Lytechinus pictus: one gene and its partners. The protein of the gene in region 2 purifies or fractionates together with the protein of the main gene of each other region. This does not show direct contact. Links are inferred from orthologs where the notes say so. Each region holds a gene or a part of one and is shown on either strand. Other genes may lie near its edges.

Region 1 (7,931 bases), on a different chromosome or scaffold from region 2:
GCTTCAAAATGAGATCTTACTCAATAAATTTGATCAAGATACTGTGATGTAGCAACAATTTATCAATGGCACCATGTGGAAAATTGTTCATCTGCCACCCTTTTTGCATACCCAACTACAACTTATCATGCAACCCCATAATATGTCTGCCAACTATGCACGGACGAGTCCTGGACCTGGGCTCCGGCCTGCAAACTGGGCCGCAGCTCCCTGGTTTACAGCTGGGCAGCCTGGGCTGGCATTGGCCAAGGCGCGGCGTCTACTCGACACAATCAACATTCAAAAATGAAAAATGGCCAAATGATCAACATTGACAATCAATAGTATGGTAGTAGGGGGTCCTAAAGCTACACACCACTCATCGCACATGCAGTTTGGCAAATGCGCACTCTGCGTGTGGAACTGACTGCAGGGTGACGAACAATTTTTTTTCAACAGAGGCTGCAGTAAATCTCTAAATGCAGAGAAAACCAAGAACTGTTTGGAATTTTGGAGTTATACTCACTTTAATGTCATTTTATCCTATAATAATGTTTTAGAAATTGAGACACAGGAAATAATATTTTTTGCATGATAAATCGAGTGCGTAGCTTGGGTGTCTGGAGAAAAAAATTATTTTTCTTATTTCAAGAAAATATCACATTTTCTTTGCGAATTTGAAGAGAAATGACCTTCAGACTGACAGAAATGTAACATTTTTGAAAAAAATCAAATTATTGGCTGCAAAAAAAGAAGAATGAAATTAGGTCAATTTTCAGCATTTCTCTGCCATAGACTGTGTAGTTAAGAAATGGACACACACAAATCCAAATTTTTAGCTTCCGAGATGTTATTAATTTATTATTAATGCCAAAAACTTGTCCTTAAAGAGTCCAATAGGATTTTTTATGCTCTATCTGATGGTATGATTTTTATAAAGATTTGGAAACCAGATCACAATGAAAAATTGCGACAAAGTTAAAACAGAAATTTCATTTTCCCATAGAAAACCAGAGCTGCCAACATTGGGATGATAGAATCCAGAAGATTTCGCGGAGGTATGATTTTGTGAGGGAGCGCGCGGCGAAATGTCCCACGGACGGGAGTTTTGGGTAGCAAAACTCATTAAGAAACAACATTTGATAGTATCCGACAGCTGTCTAAACCATCAAAACTTTTGGCACATAGATTAAATGCACATTAGAGAGATTTCATGAAATGATGAATTGTCTGTCATTGACTAAAAAAATAAGTTCAAGCCTGATTTCAGGCAATACAGTAGAACATAAAATGATTCACAAAAGAATGCGTTCAACAAGAAAATACCTTTATTGTCCAGAGGGGAAAAGGGCTGCAGTAGTGGAAGATGAGCTTGCCTGGCCCTGTAAAGACTTATATGTGGCCTGTTTTAAAGTCTGAGGGCCGAGGGATTCCTGTGAAAATTGCCTTTTTGTAGCAAGCACGCACAGCCAGCCAGCGCCAGGCTAGCTCACTCACGAAAGAGAAAATGTTCGAATCCGATCAACCCAAGTAAAAGTAGGCAAAAAAAATCTCCACTTTGCTTCTGTTCTTCAGGATTGTCAATAAAATTATTCCTAAAAGTCAGGGTGTAATTATAATAGTAACCCATCGTTGATCCACAGTTTCAGCTCGAATAAAGCGCACACAAGCTTCCGAAAAATACATCGGACTTCCCTTTTCGCATAGCCTCCTGCCGGAGACCAGGCAGTGCCGCGCCGGGGCGCGTCGGGGGGCATAGGCATGGAGTGCCGCTAAAGTGTTTCCATCATGCACATGCACATTGCAGAACCAGAAAAAAAAATTGCTTGTTAGACTAATTCACCAGTCGTTCGGTAAAATTATCTTCATTTACATTGGAAATCAATGTACGATTATACAAAAACTGGTAAAAGTAACTGGGTAAAATGAAAATGTGATAAGGAGTTTCCACGTGGGTGTAAAACTAAAGGGAGTTGAACATGCTAGACTCGTAAAACAGTCGTTTGTATGAATTTTACAATTTAACAGCTAAAAATCACAATTATCCGGGAGATTTTGGCATGGGGTCGGGAGAACGGGAGATTGGATCGAAATCCAGTATTCTCCCGCAGGATCCGGGAGACTTGGAAGCTCTGGAAAACGCATGGAGAAATGGCAATCTCAACACACACAAAAATAAGGTTTTGCAATTTATCTCTAATTCCTTATTTAAAATGATCATATAAACTTGTCCTTACTGTCAAAAGAAGCCCCTCAATTTTCTCTTTCCATACATGCCAAACACAAGTTAATAATAATAATCAATTCAGATCACATTTTTCTAGTAGCCTGAACTTCCCCGAAAAATGTGCCATATTTTCCCCTAAATCAGCCTGTTTTATGCTGACACTTTTCAGTGTGGCTTCAGACACTAGCTTTAGGACCTCTTCTACATTCTGAAAAAAACAGCCATTGGCATTGCCATTGACATGATTGACATGACAGACAGGCTGACAGCGGGATTTTCGTATTACGTGAGTTTTGCAAATTTTTATTCTTGTTTATTAATGATCTTTAGAATGTTTGCCACAAATTAGTGAAATATAATTTGTTCAAATATTAAAATTGGCATAGTTTTTATCGTTTGAAAACAAAGTGCGTAGCTTCCCCCCCCCCCCCCCATCATATCACACAGGCCATGTACCAGTGTGTACCCATACATAGGCCATACCGTATATGACACCACACGAATCAGTCAACACAAATGACAAAATAAAAAAAATAATCACCCAACTCTCGTCGTCAACAACACTGATAATACAACATAAACAGACAAGTAAAACATATTTTTAAACATTCAAAATTGTGGTCTCAAAATCTATGATCATTCTTCTTTCAAATTTGTATCAATAGAGTGAATCATGGCACCAAACAAGAAACATTTCAAGAGTCATACCTTCACGCGTTGCATACTCTGCGGCCGCCATGTTTGATGCTAAATTGGACCTACACGATTTCCGTGCGCGCGTGAACGCGCTCGTCAAGCTAGCTTACGAACGCGCCGTGCGACCTTTGCTCGTGACGTGACGGAGCTGAGGGCTCGGCAGGATCGAGGTAGTCTACAAATGAAGACCCACATCTGCAGTGTGTGTACCACACCTGATTCAACGAGTCTGCATAGCAGACTAGGTCTACTGTGGCTGGCTCGCTTCGCTCGCCATTTCAGGCTGGTTTGCTTGCTTCGCGCAAACCAGCAGCAGCGCGCGATCCCACCTCACCAGCCATTCAGAGTCTGCATAGCAGACTAAGATCGAGGTGGGGGCGCTTACTGGGGAGAAGAGAAGAGAAGAGAAGAGAAGAGAGGAGAAGAGAAGAGAAGAGAAGAGAAGCCGGAAGAGAAGAAAAGAGGATCGAGAGGAGAGGAGAGAAGAGAAGAGAATTAGAGAAGAGAAGAGAATTAAGGGAAAAGAAAAGAAAATTCAGAAAAGCCAGGAGAGGAAGGGGAGACAAGAAAGTGAGAGGTGGGCATAGTTTTTTTTAGGTCGACTATCGTGTACTAGTATTTAAAGGAAAATGAAACATTTGGAACAAGATAGCTTGTGTGAAAACAGACAAATCAAAGAAACAGATCAACAAAAGTTTGAGAAAAATCGGACAAATAATGAGAAAGTTATGAGCGTCATTGAATATTGCGATCACTAATGACATGGATATCCTCACATTGGCAATGCGACAAAGATGTGTGATGTCACTTGTGAACAACTCTCCCCATATACATTTCACTAAAACTGCCTCTTTTTTCACATCTATCAGTAGAGCATATATTCTTTCTATGGGAGGGCATATAATACATATTTTTAAAGAATACATCATGGATAAAGAGTTTGTATCACCATAAGAAAATTAAAAAAAGAGACATTTTGGGGGTATTTTATAGTCCATCAAAGGGAAAGTTGTTCCGTGACATCACACATCCTTGTAGCATTGCCAATGGGAGGTTCTCCATAGCATTAGTGATTGCAATAACTTTCTCATTATTTGTCAGATTTTTCTCAAACTTTCTTTGTTCTTATTCTTTGATTTTTCTGTTTCGACACAAGCCTACTTGCTCCAAAGGTTTCATTCACCTTTAAAGTAGATCAAATTCTACTATAGCACTGTAACAGCTAAGCCTTAATGAATTGATCACCTCAAGCCTTAGCTCGCTCTACTCAAACCTCAACAGGTAACCCATAATGCAACATTCTGAGCAGTGTAGTCTTGTAATATAGACCGACTTGAACGATATGCTAATCCCGGAATGCTAATTCAATATACTCGATATATACGTTCACAATACCGCAGTGATTATGCTATATAAGTAGCAGAACATGTACGTTCCTCTCAAAAGCAGTTTATTTTCCCTTTAAAGGTATTGTTTAACTTTGTGTTTGTGCTTTTGTCATTACCATGGTTGATTGTATATTGTACATTTTTTATTGTTGTGTGTATGGACCCCTACGAAAAACAGCACTTGCTGATAGGGTGTTCCATCCCACAAGTGGTAAATAAATAAATAAAATAAAAAATAAAAACTTTAATTGTGAGCAGCCGATTTAAAAAATTCTCAAACCAAGATGAAACATGTGTACAAGTGCATGTATTAGAACTAATAAACCCTGAAAACAACCATTATTGAGAATGAAAAGCTAAAACTACAAGGCAAACCCCGATTTTGTAAATAGGCGTCTTATAGACGCCTAAATAGTACACATAAGTGTATGGGATGAAATTAAGATGGTTTTTTTCGGTCACTTTATATTTAAATTTATGTAGCACTAAATAATTATTTTCGAACGCAATTTTTTCTGGGCTTCATTTTTGTAACATATCACAGACACAGGTGAGAATTAAGTGTGACCTTCTAGCTCAGATTTTTTAAAAGTCAAACCAATGTTAAACAATCACTTTAAGTATAGGTTAGGTTATTCTCTGTAAGCCTATATATTGGTAATTGTTATCTCAAAACGTATATCTTAAGACTAGCTAATGAGAGCTCCCCTTCAACATAATTATGATGCATCTGAGCATCCAATCCGATTCAAGCGGATTCAAGCTCGTATAAGCACTTTTATAAAGATTCAACTAGTTGTTGACAAGAAATAGTCTCAAAATGCATTTCTTATTTTACGGGCACTATTAATGGAGAAAATAAAGAATGCCTGACTTATTTTTTTTTTTACAGTGTAGCATATTCTATCCTGAAAAGGCTGTAAAAATACAGAACAGGCTGACGAGGGGTGTTTGAAAAATCCATGAAATCCCACAAGCTTCAGGGGTTCTGAAGCGGGGTATAATAAGAATGGGGGAAGAATTATAATTTTTTTTGTTCAGGTCACTATTTAGAATTTTTGTTCGCGCTTCGCGCGTGCATTATAGTGTTTAATGAAATCCATATCTTGTTCATGATTATTAAATGGTGCTTAAACTATCCGGCTTTGAAGTCTACACTGTTAGAAAATTTCTACTTAAAAAAAACAAAAATTCCTGCAGCAGAGTCTCGAGAACACCTGTATGTTACTGCACTGTGTAATATTACATGCATTTTGTGTAAAATTACAGAAAATAGATATTGGTGTATGTAACCTTACAAATTTATTGTAATAAAACTGTTTTCCCCCTTTTTAAAACAGACCTGTTCTGAAAAATTCTATAAAAATTGTATAAAATCTTTCCTGTTTTAACAATTATTGGTTACTTCTTTTTGTAAAATCTGTTTTTATTTTTTCTTATGTAAAATCTTCTGTTTTTCTAACAGCGTATGCAAAAAAATTTTTTTTGCTATCACACAGTGTTGTAGTGTCATGATGCTTGGCCTTGGCCTTAAGGCCTACTTTTTCAAAGCCTCGGCCTTGAACATTCAAGCCTTAGCCTTGAGAGGGCCTTGACCTTGGCCTTGAGGATTTTGAGCCTTGAAATTTCAAGGCATTTTCAAGGCATTTTGTAATTTGTACTTTTATTTGTTTTTATATAAGTAATTATAAATGCTTAAAATTTTCTGTATATTTAATGACACTAATGGTCAATTCTACCAGTCAACAATAGCAGTAGCAGCAGCGGTAGTAAGTGTACTAGCAGTGCCATCAATATATTTTTACAATTATCAAGAATCATCAACACATTATATTACAAAGAAAACAGCAGTGATGAAAAAAAAATTATGTGTTGTAATCTTGACTAATGATGATAATGACAATATTACTAATAATGATGATAATTATCGTAATAATGATTATGATAAAGATTATAGTGATTTGATGTCAGGAAGAATTCTGACAGATCTGACTGCAATTTTGACAACAATTTTCATACAATTTTTATAGCTAATTCTGAAGAATGATAACAAGGTTGATTTCTATTCCATTAGGATTTTCCTCGTATTATTTTCTTTGGTCTTTAATTTGGTAGTATTCTTTATTCCGGTTTTTTAGGTAAAAAAAAACAGTAGAAGATACAAAAAATGATAATTGAAATTTTAAAGTGGTTGTAAGCAGAAAAAAACATGAAAACTGACAAGAGTCCTAAAACTGACTAATTTTCAGGTCAGCATCTGAAATTTTCAACTTGCGCTTTGTGATCTCTTGCCCCCCCCCCTGAAAAGTTCCATGTAGGAAAAAAGGCCCCTTTTCTAAATCGAGAAATTCCCTTTTTTCCAAATGAAATGTGCCCATTTTCAAAAACATTGAAAAGAAATACCTTTTTTAAATAGAATTTATAGTAAAACATAATACATTTTAAGTTAGTAAATCAAAAATTTGGGATCGCACTCGCATCAATTATTGTTTAGTATGGTATTAATACTAGTAATCCTGTTCATGGTTACAAAAATGTTTATGATTTCCAGTTTTCAGATTGGAATATCACAGATCTTTGGCTCGTGTTCTGCACTCGCATTAATTGTTAAGTAAGGTACTCATTCTCAGCGGCGTAACAGGGGTCGGTGGCCAGGGGGGGGGGGGGGCAAGAGCCAAAAATTTCCCGGTCATATCATGGAACAGGCAATGGCGTCATAAGGCAAAAAATTTGAGGGGGCGATATGGCGTATCGGGCAAATATACATATAAATAAAAGCGAGCGAGCGAAGCGAGCGAGCAAAAATATTTTGACATTTTTATTGCAAAAATCCAATTTTGTGATAGATTTTTACATAATGTTAAAAAGATGATATCATATTTCACCCTCTCTTTTCCTTTTCTCTCTTTTTTGTACGCCACGGTGAACAGGATTTTTGTTATGATTGTGAGCATCAGGGCGAAGCTCTACATGCTCGAGGGGGCCGAGTATGGCGCTTCTGGCAAGAAGTAGCTTAACATAGGTCCCGAGCGAGCGAAGCGAGCGAGATAAAAAAATCACCTTTCATGAGAATCTAACATGAAGATAGATTTTAACGTGATATTCAGAAAAATATAATACACTTTCCTTTCTTTCCTCATTTTTTTTTGTTTGGTTGTAGAACTTTTGGGGGCCATGGTCCAAACTCATCCATATAACAGTGCTTTATGGGTGGGGTCCAGGGCAGAGCCCCGGAACCTCTTGATATCAAAGCCATTTTAAACCTTACAGATGGCCACTTAATTTAATCAAATTGCGTGTATATTTATATAGCTTTAACACAACACATAAATTCAAGTGTGTATCGTAATCATCCAAATATTGTGAGGGGCACACCATAGCAAATGTGGGAAAATTTGTAAAAAGTCGCTGGCGAGCGAAGCGAGCCAGAAAAAAAATGGCCTGTTAAAACGAAATTCTAATTATGTGATAGATTTTTACATCATTATAGCAAATATCATGTCATATATTTTTTTTCATTCATCTCATTTTGCTGCCTCCTTTATTTTCTTTTATTTCCCCTTGGCTGTGGAACCACCCCCCGGTACGCCAGTGCTTCAACGTAAAGCCTAATGCAGGAAGGGTCCATATAGGGGCCCGTT
Region 2 (7,379 bases):
CTTCACCATTTGATATCTTGTTTTTTTTTTTATGTTATTAGCTAAATTTGCATATATCAATGTGGATAGTACGAGTTATTTCTATCTCAGATTAACATTTATCTCATCTCATTTAATGATAAGTTCAATTTTCCTCATCTCCTTAGGCTTGTCTAGTATCATATTTGTATAAGGTCTATTTTGAACCAGGTGAGGTTAATGATCATCTGTCAGGAATTTATTCCTAGAAATGTTTGTGTGCTATAAAAGTATGCAGGCTAAAACCAGAGTAATAATATCAAGTCTTTTGAAAGCACATGAGTTGTTACATGATAATGTGAAATGCCCTATTAATGTACAAGAATGGAATATCATTATTTTAGTTTGTTTCAGGAGATGATTTTTAATCGTTTCATTCCTTACCATCTTCATCCATATCAATAGGATCAGGTCTAGCTGGTTTAGTCTCTGGATTAGGATCAATCTCTCCTGGTTTCAGCTTCCTTGGATCATCCATCGTATCCCCATCACCTTCCTTCTTCTGCGCTTGATCACTGGTCATCAAAATGATACCAACATCTCAAATGTAAAACTGTTCAAGAACTTAGTTCTAAAAGAAACTAGTTACTCAAGGTTAAAAACATCTTTCTAAAATACTATATTTCATACATGTATCTATCTAAAAAGGTAATATTAGGAAGTAAATTTCCCATGTGTGCTCTCAAACTTGAAGTCAAGACTTTCATCTGTATTCATGAGACTTTTGATTTTACAGATGTGTATCGTACAGGATTATTTTATCTTGGACGAACCTTTAAAGTAGCCATTCATAAGACATGACAGGGCAGTGACAATAAATTGCCTTGCTCAGAGGCACATGTGCTGTGGTCAGGTTTTGAACCCTGTACCTTCATGTGTAATAGGGTTCCTTTGACCACTTGAACATGACAACTCCACAAAGGCTGTTGCTTTATTAAAACAAAGGTACGAGCCTAAATCATAGTTTGATATCAATACTCATTCATTTTCCATCAAAAGTTAATGTTATATCTATTACAACCAAGCAAGCAAACAGTATGGCCTCTGTGTCTCAATTTCAATGCGAAATACATGCTGTATGATTGGTTTGTTACGCATGTGTTCCTCAAATCTCTGAATACATAACTGTTATGTATTCAGAGACACTTAAACATGTATAAGTGATGATATAGATACCAAAGCCAATACATCAATAGGTTTGCAATAGATAATGATACATTCATAAATGAGTTACGACAAATTGAATCTCATTGCTTGGCAGAGCAATTGTGAACAAAACTGCACAATACAGAAGTAATCAGAGCACAAGAATTACAATTTGATAACCATTTCAAACTCCAAAGGCCTATAAATTAGATTTAAAATCTCACTGAAGAGTGAGATCGTAACTTACAGTAAGATTTCATATCTTTCCAGACACTGTGCTGCAGTACGTCCCACAATGGGTGCAATGGTCCTCCATTGGGTAGGCATGAGCTTAGCCAGGTGTAGGAGCTTCTCATCTTCCTCTCGACTCCATTCTGTTTTCTTGATACTCGGATCCAGCCATTCAAACCTAAGATGAAGAACAAGAGAAAAGCTGAATTCTAATTTCAACGCACAAGCAAATGAAATATCTACACATTTGATAAGGAATTAGGAATACCTTCCATATGGACAGTTTTAAGAAAACACTACATCCCCATGATAAATTGATGTAACTTACCATCTTGCTTTGCATTGTTTAGCTGATTTCCTGTGTAACAGTGAAGCAATTCTAGACCACTGGTTTTTGCCATATTTCATCACAGCTGCCTTGAGGATTTCATCCTAATGCACAAAAGAAATAGGATAATAGGTTATTGAAAAATAAAACCCTTCAAAGTTCAATTATGAAATCATACTAATAAATATTTCTAATTTATATCGAAATACATCTTAATCCATGTGGATATACATTGATTACCTGCACTTAAATGTACTTAAAATCCATGAATAAATTCTCACCAGAAGAGTAAGTCAAGCCTCACAAGCAGCAGACATGTGGACTGAGGAGGACTGAGGTCATTTAATCTTTAAAACAGGGTTGTATTATAACATTAAAGTTTTTTTGTTTTAAAACGCCTTAAATCCTTTTGTTTAAAACATTTTTACCCCAATAAACAAATTAAATTTTATGATGAATTAGGGGTAAAACTGACCTATTTGTAGCTAGACAAAATATTCTAAAAGTTACACGGATTCTTTTCCGTAATCTCCGTAAAAAAAATAAAGAGTGTCCCATAAGATCTCCCGTCTCGACGTGATGTCTTCTATACTTGGTGCATTAAAAAAAAATATGTTCATATAATGTATTTCAATTTGATGGCCCTTGTTTTTAAATTCTCTGTTGGCCATTTTTTATGAAGGCCAAGGGCCTGGCCCTGGCCCAGTAACGTCCTGGCATCGGGACGGTCTCCACTTCGAATCAAAATGACTGAGTGATAGTGACTGATGACTGAAATAAATTAATTTAACTTAAATTAATGAGGCATGCCATTAATGATGGGTGTTAAACTTGCCACAATAAAAGTTAAAACCATTTCTTTTTCCTTAATTCTGAATTTCTGATCCTTCAACACCTTCAATTTTGAATTTTCTTTCTCACACTACCCTAAAATGCACAATACACACTCAAAAAGCACGTCATACACTGCAAAACATGCAAGTTTTTTTTGCAAAGATCGCCGATTTAACTGAAATTTCTGATGGATTTTAACTCAAACTAACATATTTTTAAGGGAGAATAAGACTAAAACATAAATATTTACTTCAGTGTTCCTCCAAACACCTCCTTTAATCTGGATTCGTGGCATTTTCACAGTCTTTCTTGTCAAAATTCAGGTTTGAGAAGTGAAAAGGGAGAATATCACGCAACGAGTTGTAGTTTATTCTCCTAGCTATGCGCTAGGCGCTAACCGGAAAAGAAAGAGAGAATGCACGTACTTTTGCGCCGCGCATTTTAAAGATAATTGATAAAACGACTGGACAAAAATCTACGTTTTCTCTCGCGACAGTTGAGTGCGCTGCGACTTTTCCAATAACAGTTAGATTTACGAAAAATGTTCGGTTTATCTATTCGTGAGGTAAATATAATTTATGTTTCTGTTATATCTTTTGTTCGGCTCTTTGTTCATGTAAAAGTAGTATGTATTTCTCTGAAGTAAATGTTTAAATTGACTTTTTTTTTTTTAATTTACAGGGAATTATTTTGTTCACCTCAGTCCCACAAACTCAAAAAATTGTGAGAGCTTATGTTATTGCAATATTGATTACTCTTCACTCGTGAATTTGTTGACTTTGGCAAGTTTGGGCCTGGGACTGCAGCATGTGATCGAGGGGAAAGGGTGGGGGCGGCATATCATAGATCAGTATGCAAATCTATCAGTCACTATAGTCTATGGCCTAGATCTATATCACCATACATACATGTGGTTAAGACTTAATTAAGTTGATGTGTGTTCGGTTAATTCCATAATTTCTAACTAAAAATTAGAATAAGATCTACATAAATGCCAAACAATTTGGGATCTAAATTATTTCCTTACCTGTTTAAAAACTATTTTCTGGGTATACTATAAGTTAGTTGAGCTTGAGCCTTGAGGGGCTAATAATCGCCTGATGGGTGATCACTTGATTTATTTGATAATTTTGTTCTTGACATAATCCACTCAAAGTCAAAGTTGCGGAACATAGATATACTATAGCCTTAAGACTTAACTTTATTAATATTATTTTCCAGATGTAAATATACATGTAGATTGAAGCATGAAAAGTTTATTTTTCAAATCAAAGTTTCATTTTTTTAAATTTCCATCATTGCAGATTGCTCTTCGCTTACGTGATGGTCGGCTTTCGGTCACTGAGCTCTGTTCCAGATGTGCAGAGAGGGCAAGGCGCTGTAAAGAGCTGAATGCTATTGTAACAGAGTGCTTTGATCAAGGACTGGAAGATGCAAAGAAAGTCCAAGACAAAATAAATAAAGGTAGTTTCACTTTTACTGTTACAGTGTTAGTCTTAAATTTTCCAATGGCTAAGATTGAATTTTTTTTATATGAATCTAGTTTATTTGTGTTATTCATTTAAACTATCATAATCTCTATCTTTTCAGATTTGACTATGTTTACATCTTCAGAAGATGAAAATATTTTTGGTGGAAAAATTTATGTTACAATCTAGGTAGATTTTGTCAATCTTTTTTTTATATTTTCTTTCACACAACTTTTAATTCATAAGAGACTGCTGATTATGTGAAGGTTTTTTTTTTTATTCCAAATACAAATTTCAATTATGGAAAGCAGATTTCTCATTTTCTTAATGGTCAATAAATTTTTCATTCTTCCATTCAGTGTTCAATTGTTTAGATTTTTTAAAGTTAAAATTCATGGTAAATTATAGTAAATATTCCAATCTTGCTTAGAGCACTATGCACAATATGATTCATGTTCCAAGCAAAGATTCCATCGTTGTGTTTGTCAGTGTTTAGATAACAAATGATGCCATGAAATTTCAGGTTTTCAACATTTTTTGTTGATAAGCATCTGTGTCTCTCTTTTCAATTTGGTTTATAGAAATTTGATTGAATCTGAATTGGCCAGACATTCTGTGTAGTCAATTTTTCAATATTTCATTTTATTTTTCATCTTCATAAGATATCAAATTAGTCAAATCAGAAAAACAATGAGATACTGTAATGAGAATAACACAGAATCAGATGATAGATAAAGGTCAACAAATAACATGTGGAAAATATTAATTTTCAAAGCATGATGTGTTATCTCTCCTGAAGTTCTTGGATGATTCAGATTCATGCAAGATTAAAATATTTAAATTTTTTGTGTGTATTAGTGTTACTCAGTTTTAAACTTTCATAATATCTTGGTTCAGATTTAACTATGTTTACATCTTCTGAAGATGAAAAATTAACTATAACTTATTGAGGTGAATGTTTTTTCAATGCTTTTTTTCATACAACATGTAATTGACTAAACAGGAGTTTACTTGAAAGGGAATTTTATTCCAAATACAAATTGCTAACATAGAAAGCAAATTGCTCATTTTTTTAAAGAAGATAAAGTCCTAATACTGTAATCTTTCATTTTATCCAGTTTTTGTTTACTGTGTTTCCATATGAAGTTGGCTATTATTAAAAACAAGTTGGATTCATATTTGATCATGGTAAATATTTTATTATGCATATTGCTTACAATTTAGTTTACATTATGTTTCCTGAAGGAAATATTATATTGTGCATTTTCAATAACATACCATGTTTTGAAAATTCATATTTTGAATGTCACATATATTGAAACACATTTCTATTAATTGAATATGTTCATCCAAATTGTAGAAGTAAAGTATTAGAGTATCATAAACTCTACGTTGTTAGATTCACCTATGTTTACATCTGATGAAGATAGGGAAAATGATGAAGGTGTAGAATTGTGCAAGCTTTATTTTTTTCTTTTACCAAACTTTTTATTATAAAGATTTTCATGAAGTAATTAAAGGTTATTTACGGTCTTATCCAGAACTTTTTTTATGTTACAGCTTTGAGTATTTTTGCCCTATTTTTTCCCCAGATTTCAGCTGTAACCCACTATTATTTTAATCCACACTATTCTCCCTTTTCCAAATCCCTTCACCCTCCATATATTTTCTTCTTAATTTACCCTAAAAGGCTTAAATTTCATTAAATGCATTATTCTTACATAGATGTTCAGGTTAGCGAGTTTATGCCTGGTAATCAGATTTGACAAGTAAAGGTTGCTATATGATTCTTCTTGGATTTAATAAGTATATTGATACTAAACTGGACAGCAAAAGAAAGTACCCACCCCTGTCAAAGGCCGCACACAAAAATTTACGACATAAATATAAACAATTTTTGTACACAGGTGTGCTACAATACCCATTACTAATCACATGTACATAAGCAATTGAATATCTTCATAACAAAGAAGAACTTGGCATGCATAGCATCTTTGTCTCTGAATCAAAAGTCCCACACAAAAGCACTTTCCACCAAGCAAAAATGGCCACTGAATGGACAACATCTTTTAACAACCAATATGTCAAAGTGAATGGACGGCTCATTCTGTTACATTTTGTGACTTTTGATTCAGTGACCAAGATGCTGTACATGTCATTTTATTTCTTTGTAATAAAGATAATCACTTCCTGTTGGGTATGTGATTACTAATGGATATTGCAGCATACCTGTGTACAAAATTGTTTATTTCTATGGGGTGAATTTTTGTGTGCAGCCTTTGATAGAAGTGGGTACTTTCTTTTGCTGGCCAGTTTATATTCTAGAATTTCAATTATGTTTCAAAGAGTGACACTAAATGAATCAATGATCCAATTTGTCATTTATCAGGTGCATCTGTAGGTTGTTTAGGTGGGATACCTATAACTATCAAGGACAACTACAGCACAACAGGGCTTAGAACAACTTGTGGCTCAAAAATGTTAGAGAGTAAGTAAACTTTGTGTAGTTGTGTCTTCTGATAGTATGGTTTGCATTACTTTTCAGCACTTTTTAGATGTACGATAAGTTTGCATAGGAAGAGGATTACCGGTATTCATTTTCTTACCCTTGACTATACATGTATGTGAAAAGCATGTAATGAGAGCTTCTTATTGGATGTACAGCTAAGAAGCTTTTACACCATAGAAATTCTGGGAATTCAGCTTTTGGCATTTCTGGCCAGGTTAGCTACTAGTTTAGAGGACAGTGTTTTAGATCATAGCTAATTAAATCATACATAATAAATGATAATAATAATATACATTTATATAACGCTTAATACAAATGTTTCTAAGCACTCCATACTGACACTGAGGCCTTCAAGGAATTCCTTCCTACTGAGTTCCCATTTACTACACCTGGGTGGAGAGTGGCAAATGTAGATAAAAGCCTTGGCAAAGGCTGCGAGTGCTGTGGTGGGAATTGAACCCTGGACCTTGTGGTTCAAAATCTAGAGATTTATCCACTGAGCTATAACACTTCTACATTTATTTCATTCTCATTCCCCTCTGGATGATGGACATCACCTTTTACTGGTCAACAACCAAATGGTGTCAAATACCTATCAAAGCCGAGTACAATTTTCAATGATTCATTGATTCTTTATTTTTCTTTATAGATTATAAGCCACCATACACAGCTACGGTGGTAGAAAGACTTCAGGATCATGGTGCTATCCTTCTGGGAAAAACTAACCTTGATGAGTTTGCCATGGGGTAAGCTGTTTTATAACATGATAATAGAATCATTACTGTCCTAAATTAATGTATTGGAGTACAGTATCGTTATTTCAGCAGACAAGACTATACAGAAC
Region 3 (7,682 bases), on a different chromosome or scaffold from region 2:
TTGCAGGTTTAGGAAGTATGTCGAGAAAAATTGAAAATTTATTTGCCTGATGCAAATTGGTGCTTTTTGAACAGCACCCAATTGCGAAACATTTTTATGTGTTTGATATGTTAGTTATTTTTTTTCTTTGAATAGAGTGTAGTTTCATTAGTCGAGGGACATTTTTTTTTACAGTTTCAACTGGATCTCAATTGGCTGATGATAACTTTTCATCACAGTTTTTAATAGGAATGTTCAACTTGATGGAACAAAACATAATTTTTTCCAATCTGTTTCCATCTTTTCTTTTTTTATTTTTTTGCTTTCTACATTGAACTACAGGTTGATAATAAAAAAAAGTATATGATAATAATATTCCGCTCAAGTATTGCATGATAAAAAAAATAAATAGATGTTTACAAGATGAAGTGATACAATTTAGAAACAGGAATGCCCCAATTGGTTAATGTAAATTTGTTTTAATAGAACCTTTTCTTTATTCCTATATGTCCTTTCCTTCTTTTATTTGTAGATGGCCTTGAAGACGCATCGAAAGACGTGGCAACAGATGAGAATGTCCAGTGAACACCAGCAGTGGGGTGTCATTGCATAAATCTGTTCCAATTCCCTAACCTATGAACTATTGTTAGAATAATGACATGCCCCTGTATGCTTTTAAACTGGTAGGATCAGAGGAATTAATACCTGGTTCTTGGCTTCGCTTTTCCTATTCAAGGTGTGACAGTTGACGCAAATTGGGAACTGGGGAGTGTTTCATAAAGCAAGTACTCGGTGATTTTCACTGACTAAATTTTTCTGAGCCAATCAGATGAAAGGATTTCAGGAAAAAATAAAAAATTAGTCAGTGATGATAACTATTTGCTTCATGAAATGCTCACCTGGGGCCCGTAACACAAGGTTAGCAATGATCGTAGAACATTTTTCTACGATTGATTGCATTGACTACAATGTACAATCAATCGTGAAAATTAATCGCTAACCTTTGTGTTACGGGACCCTGGACTTGATACTTATTGCAGCATGAATTGTACCTGTACCACAAGTTTATATCCTTCATTGGGGACAAGAACAATAATGTGAAAATATGTATAGTATATATAATAGATTTATATTGTTCATCATTGTAGGCTAGGGGCCGAGGGTATTCTAAACATTGTCTTTTCTCAGAGATATGACAGAATCTGTATTCAGGTGGATGTCATAACTTTTGTCATTAAAACTGTCTTGAATTTTACATCTTCTCTTTATCACGCTAAAAAAATACACAGTTCATGAATGCGCATAATCCCAATATACAAGCAAAAGATATGACAACATTTATGACAAAGCCTAGTAGTCATTAATTTTGTGATTTCGTTTGGTACCATAATATCCCGATAACCTGCCGACTAAATATTTAGGTTGGATTGTTGTTTTAGTTCCACTCGTCATCCATGACTATTTTCAAAAATGTTTTTTCATGTTACAAGTAGTTGGGCCCTACATATTAATTCCTCCTTTTTTATGTTTTCCTCTTTTTAAAAAATCTCTCTTCTAATAATCCTTCACAGCTCCCTGTTTTTATTTGTAATTAAGCGTGTCAATATACGCGCAGTCACGCGATGCCAGCTATATATCAAGGATGTGCCACCGGGCCTTCCTGTTGGTTAGAAGGGCTCCCACTCGGAACTAACAGTGATTTTGATTGGTTTGCTTCCGAAAAGATGGGCGGGAATATGGGAGAAAAATGACAGAGGAAGGACAATGTTCAGAATACCGATTTGTGACAATCATAGCGGTGTCACATCTCAGGAGAGAAATTACAAAATTTATGACATGGTTCCAGAATACCACCCCAGATCTAGAACTGCAAAAACATGTACATGTGTATAAAGAGTTTCCATTGTTTTTTATACAATGATCTGGATTCATAAACAGTGGATTTTGATATGTGCATGAATTCCCTCAGTATCTATCAGTGACTATGAAAACAGAAACAATAATACTTTTCTGTGCATTACAGCAAGGCAACCAGGTTGTCATTCCAGTATTAAAGATGGAAGGGAAACATCTTCAATTTCCAATAGCTTTCATTATCTCGATTGATCGAGCTGTACTGACCAACTTTGGCAAAAGGAAGCAAGTGACACATCAGTCAAATTTGAGTTATTGTTGTTTCTGAAACACCCTTTGTATGTTGCACGTTCAGGCAAAATATGGGGAAGAAATTATCGTTCTATGGAAAAATATTGAAGAAAACATGCTGTTAAATTGCATTGACGCCTATGTAAATGACTAATACACATTGCTCATTTACACCAAATGATACTTTTGTAACTTGCTTAATTTTGCCAAAGTACGGCAGCATAGCCATGATGTTTTCCCTCTCTGTAAACTTTATTCATTGTATATTCATTTGAAGTAGAGAGCAGAAATTCACTGTGATGAAAACAAATGTAGAAAGAAGCACAGAAGTATGAAATGTTTTTGTTATTCAATGAAAGACACACGTAAGGTTTATATTGTGTATTATGAATGTGATGATCAGCAATGAAAAGAAGCTTGCAGCACTCCTGTGTGAAAGGTGCAGGTCTGACTTTCATGAAAATGCCTTTAGCATTCATCTGAAAGAGAAAAGTACTACTCCATATTATTGAAATAACGACCACGTCTGTGATGTTCCTAACATATAATAAATGATGGTGAACCAGCAATATAACAATAATTCAGAAATAATAAAATGCATATGCATTTATGATGCTCATAATATCTGCTAATTGCATTTTAATTCTCTTATTTTTTTCATTCATGATACAAGTACATCCCTGCTATACATGTATTGCAACATATTTTCGATGATTGTAGATTCTGATGCAACTTCAATTTACATTTTATGAAAATATTTATATTTTGGGGAAAGTAAGCATTTGGAATTAGACTTGTCCATTACTTCGTGCATCGACTCACATGTTGAAAGAGTCATAAAATACTCCGTCCAAAATCAATCTTCTGAAAGGTCAAGTCCTCCTCAACTAGAAATTGATTTTAAAAAAAGGAAAAAAAAAACAAGCAAGTATAATGCTGGAAATTTCATCAGAATTTTTTATGAAGAATTGGGTGTCGAAATAAGGATATAACCTTTCAAAGTTTCGCTTATTTTCTCAAAGTAGTTGATGTGCACAACACGTGTGAAATTTTGAACATTATGCTTGTTTTTATCCTTCTCTACTACAATTTTTAGTGTTTTTGTTTACTTCTTGGGTTGGACTTGACTTTTAAAGAGAAAGATCACCTTGATTAGATCATCATTTCCAACATATTGTGAGTAAATGTTTATTTTGAAGAAGAAAAATTGTTGCAAAACCAGTATTTATATATATTATATATAAAATAATGTTCTATGAATTATTGATCATTTGTGGCATTTTGATAATGTGCCTACACTACAGATGAGAACATGTGTATATAAATTATAAATGAAAATATGCATTACCTCCTTTGTTTATACTATTCAATGTATGTTTCGCCTTATTTTAGATTTAAATTTCAAGTTATTTCCACTCATAGAGATAACATAAAACATAGATAAAAAGCAACTAAGTATTATTTAGATATTTCAGATTTAAAAATCTTTATATTATTGTTTCTTACTCGATATACTGTTTACTGAAAATAAAATATTTGTTAACTGACAAGAGAAACTGCTTATTTCTATTTCAGAGACTACCCTCCCCCACCCCCCCCCCAAAAAAAAAAAAAAAAAACAAGGAACAAGATAAAATGAGAATGAAAAAAAATGAATGTTTGAAGTTGACAAACTAAATTGAATGAGATGCTGTATATTCGATCAGTAGCAGGGACAGTGCTACAAGGAGTGTCTGCCCCTGTGACTTCTAAAAGTAATGGGGAAAAGAAAAAGAAAGGGAGAAAGCCCGGGAGAAAGACAAGAGCATGGAAGAGAGATGACATGTGTCATGTGACTAGTCAAATATTCTCCTTTGGAAAAGAATATAAAGTGTAAACGAGTGAGAGTAATTCAAATAGAAAGGGAAGGGACAGAGGGAGAGAGAGAGTTGGGGAGAGAGAAAGATGGGGATGCATGGATTCTCTCTTTTGCAGTGCCTTCTCCCCCACCTACCCTTTTCCCTTCGGTCTCTGTCTCTTAATTTCTTGTTTCCATGTCCCTTCTTTATTTCTTTAATTCAGATAATTATATACATATTTTTCTGAAAGTTTTTTCAATTCTTTATTTGGCTTCGTTACCAGCGGCACTGTCCCATCAAATGCAATCCTCTCCCTATTAAGTGGGGGCTTTGTCTTGGATCAGGTAAAACAAATTATATTCTGATTCTTTGAGATAAAAATCCGTTCGAAGAATGAATATAAGTAAAACCTTAAGCCAATATCCACCCTTGCACCCCTTCCCCCCCTCTCGCCAAATATATTTACAAACACTATACTATACATCAATAAAAAAGAACATAACACAAAGGTTTCAATCTTATCCCATTTTTAAAGGGCAGTACTCCCCCTCCCTTGATCAAGTGTTAACTCCTAGCTCCTAGATCATTACTTTATTGAAGGAAATGGAAAAAATAAATGCAATAAAGATAACATCATTAGATTCTAAATAGCTAAATCTATCAAAATTTAAATGTTAAGTTTCCGTTCCTGTTTCATAACAGGAGTTTTAAATCGTGATCAGGCTGTCAGCGGTAATTCACTTCCAAGTAAATGCCACCGGGAAATGCCAGTGAAATGATTTTTCTTGGGGCAATTTTAACTTGGCTAAATTGACGCTGGCGCGGCGGGCGCGACATCTGCATGCATGACTTGGTTTGCTGCCATCTGCGTCAGCCACAGTCCATTGTTTTGGTACACGCGCGTCGATTGAACGTCCAATTTTTATCGTCGGATGCTGATCGCAATCCGACATCATCATGAAGCTAGTCAGGTAATTATCAATTTTTATTCAATAATTATTAATTGATGGATCTATTTGACCTGCATCATGAAAGTCTTAATCTTACTTGTATGGTTTATGGTTTATTTTCACATTACATGTCGGTTTATATGACACCCATGAAAATGAACGAGTGGGACTGAAGTAGTGAAGATAGGTTGGATGGAAGCCCTTGCATTTTAGCAAGCTAAATACCGGGGCTCGCCCTTGTCAGTAGTGATGAATATTTGTACAATATTGGTATAATTTGGAATAAATGTAGATCTACTGATAGATACCAGGATGTTTCATGAAGTGTCATCGAACGTTATTGTCGATATTTTACAATGTTTTATTAATAATAATATTTTAATATGATTAATATCGACTTGTCACAATTGTGTCACGACAAAACGGCTGCACCGTCTGTAGACTAGTGTTTCCGAATATGGTTTATCGCTTATCAGAACCGCAATGCATAATGGGATCGGAAAGGGGGCTGGAGAGCAACGGCCCCCTTTGCGATCCCATAATAATGCATTGCGATTCTGATCAGTAGAGGCGCACGGCCAATATTGGAGACTGTCTCCAATGTGGGAGATTATCTCCAATATCAGAGACTTTTGTAAAGAATTTGGGTATCCAATTTCAGAGACAGTCTCCAGTTTTGGAGACCAATTTCCTTTGTTTACATTTGCTGCAAAAGGATTACCTTGGCGGCAAATAAAAATGTGATAAGCAGATTCCTCATGAGAAATTACCCCTTTTCACCGTCTACTTTAAAAATTCACCATCTACTTTTGTTTTGATAAGGATTTTTGTTGTCAATCACACACAAAACAAATGGGCTTCTGACCTCAGTGAGACAAAATTTTGGGTGGAAAAAATCATGCTTTTGTTGGTGTTGTTTCTTTTGTCCTTTTGCAAAGCAAGTCTCCAATGTGGGAGATTGTCTCCCCTATTGGAGAGAGTCTCCCATATTGGCCGTGCGCCTCTACTGCTGATCATTAATGATACTGATAATAAATTAATACAGTAATACTAATAGTTAGACTTAGAGGTGCACGTAGCCAGGCGGCTTCTTTTTTGAGAGTAAAAATCATTTACTAACGTAAGGTCAACGTTCTCGCCAGGTTCATTCTGACGCTTGGCGGCGCGAAGCGATGATACGCAAGCCGCGCAGCTACTATTACTACTACACGGGGGGGGAGGGTCGCGGGAGGGGGGTGTCCCCCCTCCCGCGCGGAGCGCGGTAGCTATCGAAAATATCAATATCGACGAGCTTAGATTGCTGCTAAATGCACCACATTTGATGTCTATTTAATGCTTCTCCGGCCACACAGCCGTAACGGTTGCGCGAATTGCGATCGATTGAAGCAGAAAGGCAAGTACTGATGAAAAAGGTCAAAAGAAAAGATTTAAATTCAATCTCATTTTATACTTACAGTTTATAGATTTATTCACATCAATGACATCGATAACGTACTCCATACTTTCCAATGTCTAGATCGCTACGTCCTTAGAAAGTGCGATTCATTTTGTGAATGCGTGTCAATGACCGACTACATCTACGGACCGCATGCGCGCCGCGCCACGCCCTTACTCAATCCAAAGATTGTTCCGACTTTGTTTGGAAGCCTCGGAAGAAAACTTCCGAGGCTTCCAAATAATGGGCATCGGTATTCATGAGACGATATAATTTGCATGTTTGTTTTGTTTTCAGATACTCACTGAAACTATGACTCTCATAATTAAGACTTCTGCTGATGATGTTTATACTAATAATATCCAATCAAGATTCGTTTATCACTGTCAATTATTGCTATGTTCATTTGTATTGTTCTATACTCGCCTATAAAATAATGAATGTGTCCATCACGAGCGGGAGAAATATTTTTAGTCATTCATCATACTTTAATATTACGATTTTGTTCTTATTATAATTAATTGCGATTTAAAATGTTTTAAAAGTAAAGCTTAATTGACAGGAAAGTAGATTTATACTCACTGTCAATTATTCCTATATGTTCATTTGTATTGTTCTATACTCGCCTATAAAATAATGAATGTGTCCATCACGAGCGGGAGAAATATTTTTAGTCATTCATCATACTTTAATATTACGATTTTGTTCTTATTATAATTAATTGTGATTTAAAATGTTTTGAAAGTAAAGCTTAATTGACAGGAAAGCAGATTTGTATTTTTAAATAATGCACTATGTAGGCCTACAAATACAGCGTGTGTGAAAGAGAGGAAGAGGGGGGGGGAGGGTTGTAGCTAGGATGGTCGAAGGGGGAGCGCGAAAGGGGAGGGGTCGTGGCGTGGACAATGACAAGGGGATGTTGAGATCGTGCGTGTGTGTGGGATTGGTGAAGAAGTCAATATTCGAAGCGAATGCATATTTATAGACATGTCTATACTACTACTGATGATGACGGCTGAATAATCTTTCTTTACATGTATATTTTGGCGATTTTAAATTTTTTAAATATTTTCTTTCATCATGAGTGGGAAGATCGAGGTACGTGATTCAATAAATTGCATCAGTTATGTTACAGAAATTCACGAACAGATTATTAAAATTGAAAAAAAAAAAGAGTCAGAAAGATCTTTTTATAGCCCCCATCCAGCGTAAACAACATGAAGAATATTTGAGGTCACGAAACCAGCTGATTCGCATTCATACAACAGGTTAACAGGTCACGCACATGGTACACAGTCATTCCAAGGGCGGGAATTCGGGGAAACCCGTTTTCAA
Region 4 (7,560 bases), on a different chromosome or scaffold from region 2:
CACTGAGCCACCATGACCGGTTGCAATTGTACATGTACAATTCAGATTGTATCTCAATGATTCCAAATATTTTTTCATGAACAGATAAATATGTTTTCATGTATATTGTTTTCAATAGCATTTCAATATCAACATTAACATATCTGAGTTATGCTGGTGAAAACCGGTCATAGAATTGTTCTCATTGGCCCGTATTCTGAACTCTGGTTTAAATTAAACCTTGGTTTAAAGTTGTGGTTTAAATATGGAGAGCCAATTGGGGCACATATCCTTAACAGTACACATCCAATTTATTAACTCATTCGACACTCAAATTGTTCTTAATTGTCTGTTAATGGTAACTGACAGATTTTTCTTCATTATGAAAGCAAAAGGAAACAAAATAGTAAACATAAGAAATATACAATATAAACAGAAATTTTGGCTCCCAATAATTTTAGCACAGAGTTAGACCGTGGTCTAAGTTAAACCCTACTTCAGAATGCGGGCCATTGGGTTTAGGTAATGCAGTTTTAGCTTATTGTAAGTTCTTGATAATTCTTTGCTCTATACCTTACCACAAACCTATTTTTCCCCTTATCTTTAATGTTAATCATGTTTATGAGAGTGTACTACTCTCTGCAGAGTATAAAACATTATATTACCAGAACTTAAGTCTGGTATTGATCCCCTCAAAGTGACATTAGACTATCATCATGATGCATAGAAAGGATCCACTCACAAATGTGAATCACATTAAATCAATTTTGAAATAATCTGTTGACTTGTATGGTGCATAATTTCATATCTAATTGTGCCTGTTATCTGCTTAATAAATAGAGTAGAATTCACTGAACAAAATGCTGAAAATTTCATCAAAATCGGATAACAAATAATAAAGTTATTGAAGTTTAAAGTTTAGCAATATTTTGTGAAAACAGTCATCACGAATATTCATTAGGTGGGCTGATTATGTCGCATCTCCACTTTCCGTTTTCTTATGTTATTACAGAAAATCAAATTTTTTTCATTATTTCATACTTGTGTGAATAATATGTCTCCCTTATAATGAAATAAGTTGCAGCAATAAATATCTAATGCACTAAATCAGTTGTCAATCCAATTTTTCTAGTTCTTGGAGGAAAAAATTTGAATAAATCTAATTTCATATAATAAAATACAAAAGAACAAGTGGGGATGTGCATAGGCGGGGGGGGGGACTTGTCCCCCCCCCCTAAATTTGAGGTGGGGGACGATCCCCCCCCCTAAATTTTGTATCAATAACTTTTTTTTTTTTTTGTGTGTGTTTGTCAAAAAATTTTGATGGTCCCCCCTAAAATTTGGGTGATAACCTTTTTCTTTTTTTTTGGTCGTCCCCCTCAATTTTTTGGGCTTCCGCCGCCAATAGGGATGTGACATCATCAGCCCACCTAATGAATATTCATGACGACTGTTTTCACAAAATATTGCTTAACTTTAAAATTCAATAACTGTTATTTCAAATAACAAAGTTAGTGTTATCCGATTTTGATGAAATTTTCGGCATCTTGCTCAGTGAATTCTACTCTATTTATTAAGCTATAATTACTTTCAGCCCGGACCATCCCTTTAATAGTCATGAGCACTAGCGTACCTACGGGTACGAGCCACCACCCATGCATGTATCCCTGCCCCCCTGACGAGCTTGAAAGACCTTTTTGCCCCCCCTGACGAAAATCCTGGAAAATCCTAGGTACGCCACTGGTCACGAGTCAGTTATACCTAGTTCTTCCAAGGAGGTTTCAATGAGATGGAGTAACAGCAAATAAAATCCCTTTGAACGAGGATAAAAACCGCCACCAGCAAGTATGTCAGGCATGCACTTTGCTCAACATCTCTTGCCCATTGTGTAGACAAATGATTCTCGCATGACTCCACAGCTATAGGTCATATATAAAGGGATACATGCTATATTGTGATGATAATTACTTTTTCGCTGCATCTTGATCTGGTTATATGTGTAGTACGTATTCGGAGGCGTGCGAAAATAAACTGCAATAAATGACTCAAATTTGCTCGACTGGGCATGCACGGGCACTCATCTGGCATATACAATAATGAATAACAATATTCCACTGACCACATTTGAAATTCTCATTCGCCGCAAACGATCGGAAAAGTGTTAAAATCTGTTTTCAGTAAACGTCAAATTCTTACATTTTTCACTAATTAAAGGTTGATTGATATAAGCTGGGCAAATATATCGGCGTAATAGTGCTTGGTTATTGATATTTTGTAATGAGTTCAAATTTCAGTTTGTTTAATAATATGAAAAATGGAAATTGATACAAATGGATATTCGTAAAATTTCACCCCTCTGATTTCTTCGCTGAAACTGGCGGCTTCGAAGGCGGACTCTCAAAAAGGTTCTTATCGACTGCCATTCTTTCTTTTGTGCTTCTTTAGAAATGAATTACAGCTGCTTGAATAAATTTGTTGCCTGTTGGAACTCATCCATGCAGTCATAGAATCTTCTTGGTTCTTCACACTGTCACAATTCATGCCACAATGGAAACCATGGTCTCAATCGCGGAATAATTGTGACTGTGGCAGATCTTGAGGTCGTGGTAATCATGATTTTAGATCAAAAATTTGGACAGCTCAAAAATTTTCCTGGGTCCCGTAACACCAAGGTTAGCGATTAATCGTACGCTTGATTTTCACGATTTAATCTATACTGTAGTCAATGCAATCAATCGTAGAAAAATTATCTAGGATCATTGCTAAACTTTGTGTTACGGGCCCCTGATCAGCGGCTAAGAAAGGCCAATCTCAAAGGATGCACAACAGAATTGAGACAAGTCAGATAGATCATCAAAGTTGGTAGTGATCTGATCCATGATTGTTAACATAATCTTCATAAATTACATGAAATATTGTGGTATTTTAGTCTATTCTCTATTCCACAGGATGCTGTATGATTATGGCAATTAGATTATTTGATAATAAATTAAATAAAGATGCCTGAACTACTTTCCTGGCTTTAGATATTCTTTGTGCATTATTTTGTTTTATGCAAATAGTGAAGGTTAGGAATCTTATTCAGAATGGGATTTTGAATTTGATGAGACTCGGTGGTTATGACGGACCACCATCCGATCCAACAAATTCTAAAACATGAACCATGAGCAAACTTTGTCATTTTATGGTTTTGTTATATTCTCCTTTTATTCCCCCCCCCCCACATTATTTTTTGAACAATATATCCCCCTAAAAAACAAATTTGGAAAGCCAATTCCCTCCTTCATGCCCATACAGGCAAAGAAAACACCTATAATAACTATAATGCTCTTTCTTCAATTAATGAGGGGCACAAAAACTTTGGAACAAGTGGGCTTGCATGTGGAAACAGAAAAATCATATAATGATATCAAAGAAAGTTTGAGAAAATTGGTCAAAAATAAAGAAAAAGCTATGAGCATTTGAATATTGCAATCACTATAATGCTATGGAGATCCTCCAATTGGCAATGCGACAAAGATGTGTGATGTCACATATGAACTATACTTTAATTCCCTTTGATGGACTATGAAATACCCCCAAATATCTCTTTTTGCTCTTTCTCTTTTAAAATCTGTTTTACTTGCCTTGTCATTATGAGATGTGATAAAAGAGGCAGATTAATATACAAAAGTTTATGGGAAAGTTGTTCACACGTACGTGACGTCACCAGCATTATGTTGATAAATTTTTCCACCTCTAGCTATCATACTGGACATCACACATCTTTCTGGCATTCAAGTTCTACATTACAATAATGATCTAAATTCAAATGCTCTTAACTTTCTTATTGTTTATTCAATTTTCTCAAAGTTTCGTTGATCTGTTTTTGTGATTGTTCTGTTCTTACACAAGCTATCATGTTCCAAATGTTCCGTTTTCCTGTATAATCCATGCATGGATGGGTGAATGAATGTGCAGCCTCCCGGCACAGCCTATTTTATGTACCTGCATGATCTAGCTCTTGTAATTGAAAACAGCTTTCAGTCTTTGATTAATTTGGCTGGCAACTATTGTCATGCAGAAAGAACTATATTATGTTCCCCTGGCTTGGAGCTTTTTAAAATGGATTTAAAAGCTTCCTTTATATATCGAGTTATATTTCTCTTTCGATTTCTCCTTCATTTTTGTCTTCTTATATCGAGGTTTTTTACCTGACTGCTAAATAAGCACGAATGCCTGTGAACAAGCAACCAGGGGACCAACGGCTTAAGGTCCTCTCCGAGGGACCTGGTAATGAGGATAAATGCCTTACCAAAGGGCACTAGCGCACCACTTGGGAATCGAACCCGGGTCACCGGAATCCGAAACCCCCGCTCTACCGACTGAGCTATCGCGCCTCCAATATTTTCATATGATTGTTTTTCTTTCATTTTCCCCTATTTTTCTTTTCCATTTTCTTTTATTTTCTCTTCTTTTTCTTTTAATTTATTTCTCTTTCTCCCTTAATTCTTTTTTTTCTATGTCTTTATTGCTATCTTCTAGTCTCGTGTGAACACGTATACTGACTATCGCGATAGTCAGTATAGCGATAGTCACTATAGCGATAGCCCATCAATTTAGAATTGTGTCTATTATTCATTAGATTAAACATACTTATATGATTCCACTGAATATTGATAAACGACGAACCACACAATGTTAAACATAGTTTGGTTTCATTTTATTTTGGCAGTCATCTCTAAATAAAATAGCCCTTTCTCTGAATAGCTCATAGAGTTGGATAGCTCGACAAGCTCAATCTTTATCAATCTTTATCATGATCAAATTGGCAACTTGGCGGTACGTTTGTTTATTATTGTGTTCTCACTTTCACGGTACGGTCGACAGAAAGCAGAATTATTTACACAATCGCTCAAAATCTACGTAATCGAGGTTTATTTTCATCCAGAAATACTTGAAATCGAAATAAAAGATGTCGATCGGTGTACCTATTAAGGTTTTACACGAGGCAGAGGGACATATCATCACTTGTGAGACGAATACAGGTGAAGTCTACCGTGGAAAGCTCATCGAAGCCGAAGACAACATGAACTGCCAAATGATGCACATAACTGTCACTTATCGCGACGGACGAGTCGCACAGCTTGAGCATGTTTATATCAGGGGAAGCAAAATTAGATTTTTCATCTTGCCTGATATGCTGAAGAATGCTCCCATGTTTAAGAAAGCCGGATCTAAGGGATCTGCAGGACGAGGAAAGTCTGCGATTCTGAGAGCCCAGGGTACGTTTTGCAATGTAAAATCAATTGACATTTTTCTGTATGGTGTAACCGGTCAACCCTACCTCAGCTCAGCCAGGCGAGGCGAGGCCGAGGGTACCGTATGGGCACTATGATGGGGTGTCCAAACTTCGCGCACTTTTCAAAAATATTCATCAGGTTTAAATTTTTTCACAAAATATTCATAAATTATACAAAACCAATTAAAAAAATAGTTACCACATTGACGGCAAGATCGTAAACTATAAAATAATGGACGAAAATGTAAAGTAGGTCAAGGGAATTCGCCAGTATCGCGATCTCAAAATTCTATTCTGATCGGCGAATGCGCGCTGTACTGGAAAACGTTCAGAAAAAGTGTGACCTAACTTCGCGGACCAAAGTTTTTGTGGACATTTAAACAAAAACTCAAGCTCAAAAAGTGAAATATTTATATCAGATTGATGGCAAAATGCTATAGAATTGGTTTGTACCACATTTAACTCACATTTTTGATGATTTCTGCTTGCAAAATGGTGATATCGTGATGCTTGTTGAGAATATCAGATTTCTTCAAAAACGGGCGCTAACGGTGACAAATTTGCCGATCTTTTGCCAATATTTTCATGAATACTGAACTCATCCTAAAGAAACTTACACCAAAGGGTAATTTTAGGTCGCTTTTCACGTTGATGATGTCAGATTTTAAGGATATTGGCTAGTTTTTTAGATAATGACCGTCCGCGAAGTATGGACACGCGCGAAGTTTGGACTCACTGCCATACTAGTATTCGACCTGGCATAATTCAAAGATTTGGCCAAATTCCCCCAAATATTTAGAAATAGGGAATTTATCTTAATTTCATACCTTCTTTGTTATTTCAAGGCCAGGGTAATGACTATGTTAATCTGTTTTCGGTATTTTCTTTATCAATCTGTGACTGTGAGTGTAATTCTGTCGATTGTGCGGAGGATCAAATTATGCGGCGATGACCTTTTGGCAATTTTTTTTTTGCACTGAATTGCACTAGTAAGTAGTATTCAACCTAGTGATGATAGATAGTGAATCTCAAAATGGTTTAAATTGCTAAACTAGATCTATGACGTACAGACTAGATGTAGGCCTAACTGTTAACAGTAGAGCCTAGAGGCATGAGAGGCGCACAGCCAATATGGGAGACTCTCTCCAATAGGGGAGACAATCTCCCACATTGGAGACTTGCTTTGCAAAAGGACAAAAGAAACAACACCAACAAAAGCATGATTTTTTCCACCCAAAATTTTGTCTCACTGAGGTCAGAAGCCCATTTGTTTTGTGTGTGATTGACAACAAAAATCCTTTATCAAAACAAAAGTAGACGGTGAATTTTTAAAGTAGACGGTGAAAAGGGGTAATTTTTCATGAGGAATCTGCTTATCACATTTTTATTTGCCGCCAAGTTAATCCTTTTGCAGCAAATGTAAACAAAGGAAATTGGACTCCAAAACTGGAGACTGTCTCTGAAATTGGATACCCAAATTCTTTACAAAAGTCTCTGATATTGGAGATAATCTCCCACATTGGAGACAGTCTCCAATATTGGCCGTGCGCCTCTACTGGTTAAGTCTCTGGCTTTGACTAATTCCCTGTTTGGTCTCATCTCAAATCCATTACACCTATTCGTCATACAACTTGGCCCTTAAGTAAATTTGATTCTTTAAATTATTTTTTTCTTGATTAAAAATAGAGATAAAAAAATGAAAATTTTCTTGCCATATTACTTTCCACCAAAAGAGGGCGTACACAAAAATATGCCCAAAATTCAAGTTTTTGAGTGCTCTAGTAAATACAAAAATTATTCCCAAGTTACTAATGAAAAATAAATTGCAACTGTATGAAAATTAGTAATTTTGGTCACAAAAGTGATATTTTAATGATTTTTTAAAGTGTGTGCTCTGTACAGCATTGGCATGCCATAGTCCTACCTGTAGATTCCACACAGGCAGGATGGTTGCAGTGAACAAGTGGGCAGATCGAGAAACAGGGCCATCTTTCATCGCTAGGTTGAATACTGGTGCCGACGGATTGAATACTAGTGCCAAAAACCATCGACGTATAATTCGATCGCCCGCGTACACAGTCGACGGGTTGAAGAAAAAAATAATGCAAAAAGAATAACCAACATTTGCTCTTGGAAATAAGGCAGGTCTGAAATTAAGGTAAATTCCATATTTCTATAAATTTGAGGAAATTCTCCAAATGGGTTGAATACTAGTGCCCTTACGGTACTCAGACTGTCTCAGTAGAGGCCCACGGCCAGCGGCGTACCTAGGATTTTTCAAAGGGGGGCAAATTCGTCCA

The links.
Region 1: the proteins of cell division cycle 5-like protein (region 2) and splicing factor 3B subunit 1-like purify together in Homo sapiens (affinity purification with mass spectrometry; 5 studies listed by BioGRID and IntAct, with this or other methods). This does not show direct contact. The link is inferred for Lytechinus pictus from reciprocal best matches to the Homo sapiens genes CDC5L and SF3B1.
Region 3: the proteins of cell division cycle 5-like protein (region 2) and small nuclear ribonucleoprotein Sm D1-like purify together in Homo sapiens (affinity purification with mass spectrometry; 4 studies listed by BioGRID and IntAct, with this or other methods). This does not show direct contact. The link is inferred for Lytechinus pictus from reciprocal best matches to the Homo sapiens genes CDC5L and SNRPD1.
Region 4: the proteins of cell division cycle 5-like protein (region 2) and small nuclear ribonucleoprotein Sm D3-like purify together in Homo sapiens (affinity purification with mass spectrometry; 3 studies listed by BioGRID and IntAct, with this or other methods). This does not show direct contact. The link is inferred for Lytechinus pictus from reciprocal best matches to the Homo sapiens genes CDC5L and SNRPD3.

The regions. Positions count from the first base shown.
Region 1 is NC_087257.1:28,175,189-28,183,119, forward strand, and holds the start of splicing factor 3B subunit 1-like, read right to left. Parts: upstream 3,017-7,931; 5' UTR 2,946-3,016; coding exon 2,915-2,945; intron 1-2,914. UniProt on the Homo sapiens protein: Component of the 17S U2 SnRNP complex of the spliceosome, a large ribonucleoprotein complex that removes introns from transcribed pre-mRNAs.
Region 2 is NC_087248.1:5,493,397-5,500,775, reverse strand, and holds the start of cell division cycle 5-like protein, read right to left. Parts: upstream 3,003-7,379; 5' UTR 2,853-3,002; coding exon 2,808-2,852; exon of another isoform or gene 2,665-2,807; intron 1,828-2,664; coding exon 1,724-1,827; intron 1,574-1,723; coding exon 1,412-1,573; intron 534-1,411; coding exon 403-533; intron 1-402. Other genes in the region: glutamyl-tRNA(Gln) amidotransferase subunit A, mitochondrial-like, read left to right, coding at 3,099-3,122, 3,862-4,021, 6,416-6,514, 7,185-7,281.
Region 3 is NC_087246.1:62,605,899-62,613,580, forward strand, and holds the start of small nuclear ribonucleoprotein Sm D1-like, read left to right. Parts: upstream 1-4,676; 5' UTR 4,677-4,919; coding exon 4,920-4,933; intron 4,934-7,682. Other genes in the region: coiled-coil domain-containing protein 113-like, read left to right, coding at 512-592. UniProt on the Homo sapiens protein: Plays a role in pre-mRNA splicing as a core component of the spliceosomal U1, U2, U4 and U5 small nuclear ribonucleoproteins (snRNPs), the building blocks of the spliceosome.
Region 4 is NC_087246.1:7,903,258-7,910,817, forward strand, and holds the start of small nuclear ribonucleoprotein Sm D3-like, read left to right. Parts: upstream 1-4,540; 5' UTR 4,541-4,933; coding exon 4,934-5,243; intron 5,244-7,560. UniProt on the Homo sapiens protein: Plays a role in pre-mRNA splicing as a core component of the spliceosomal U1, U2, U4 and U5 small nuclear ribonucleoproteins (snRNPs), the building blocks of the spliceosome.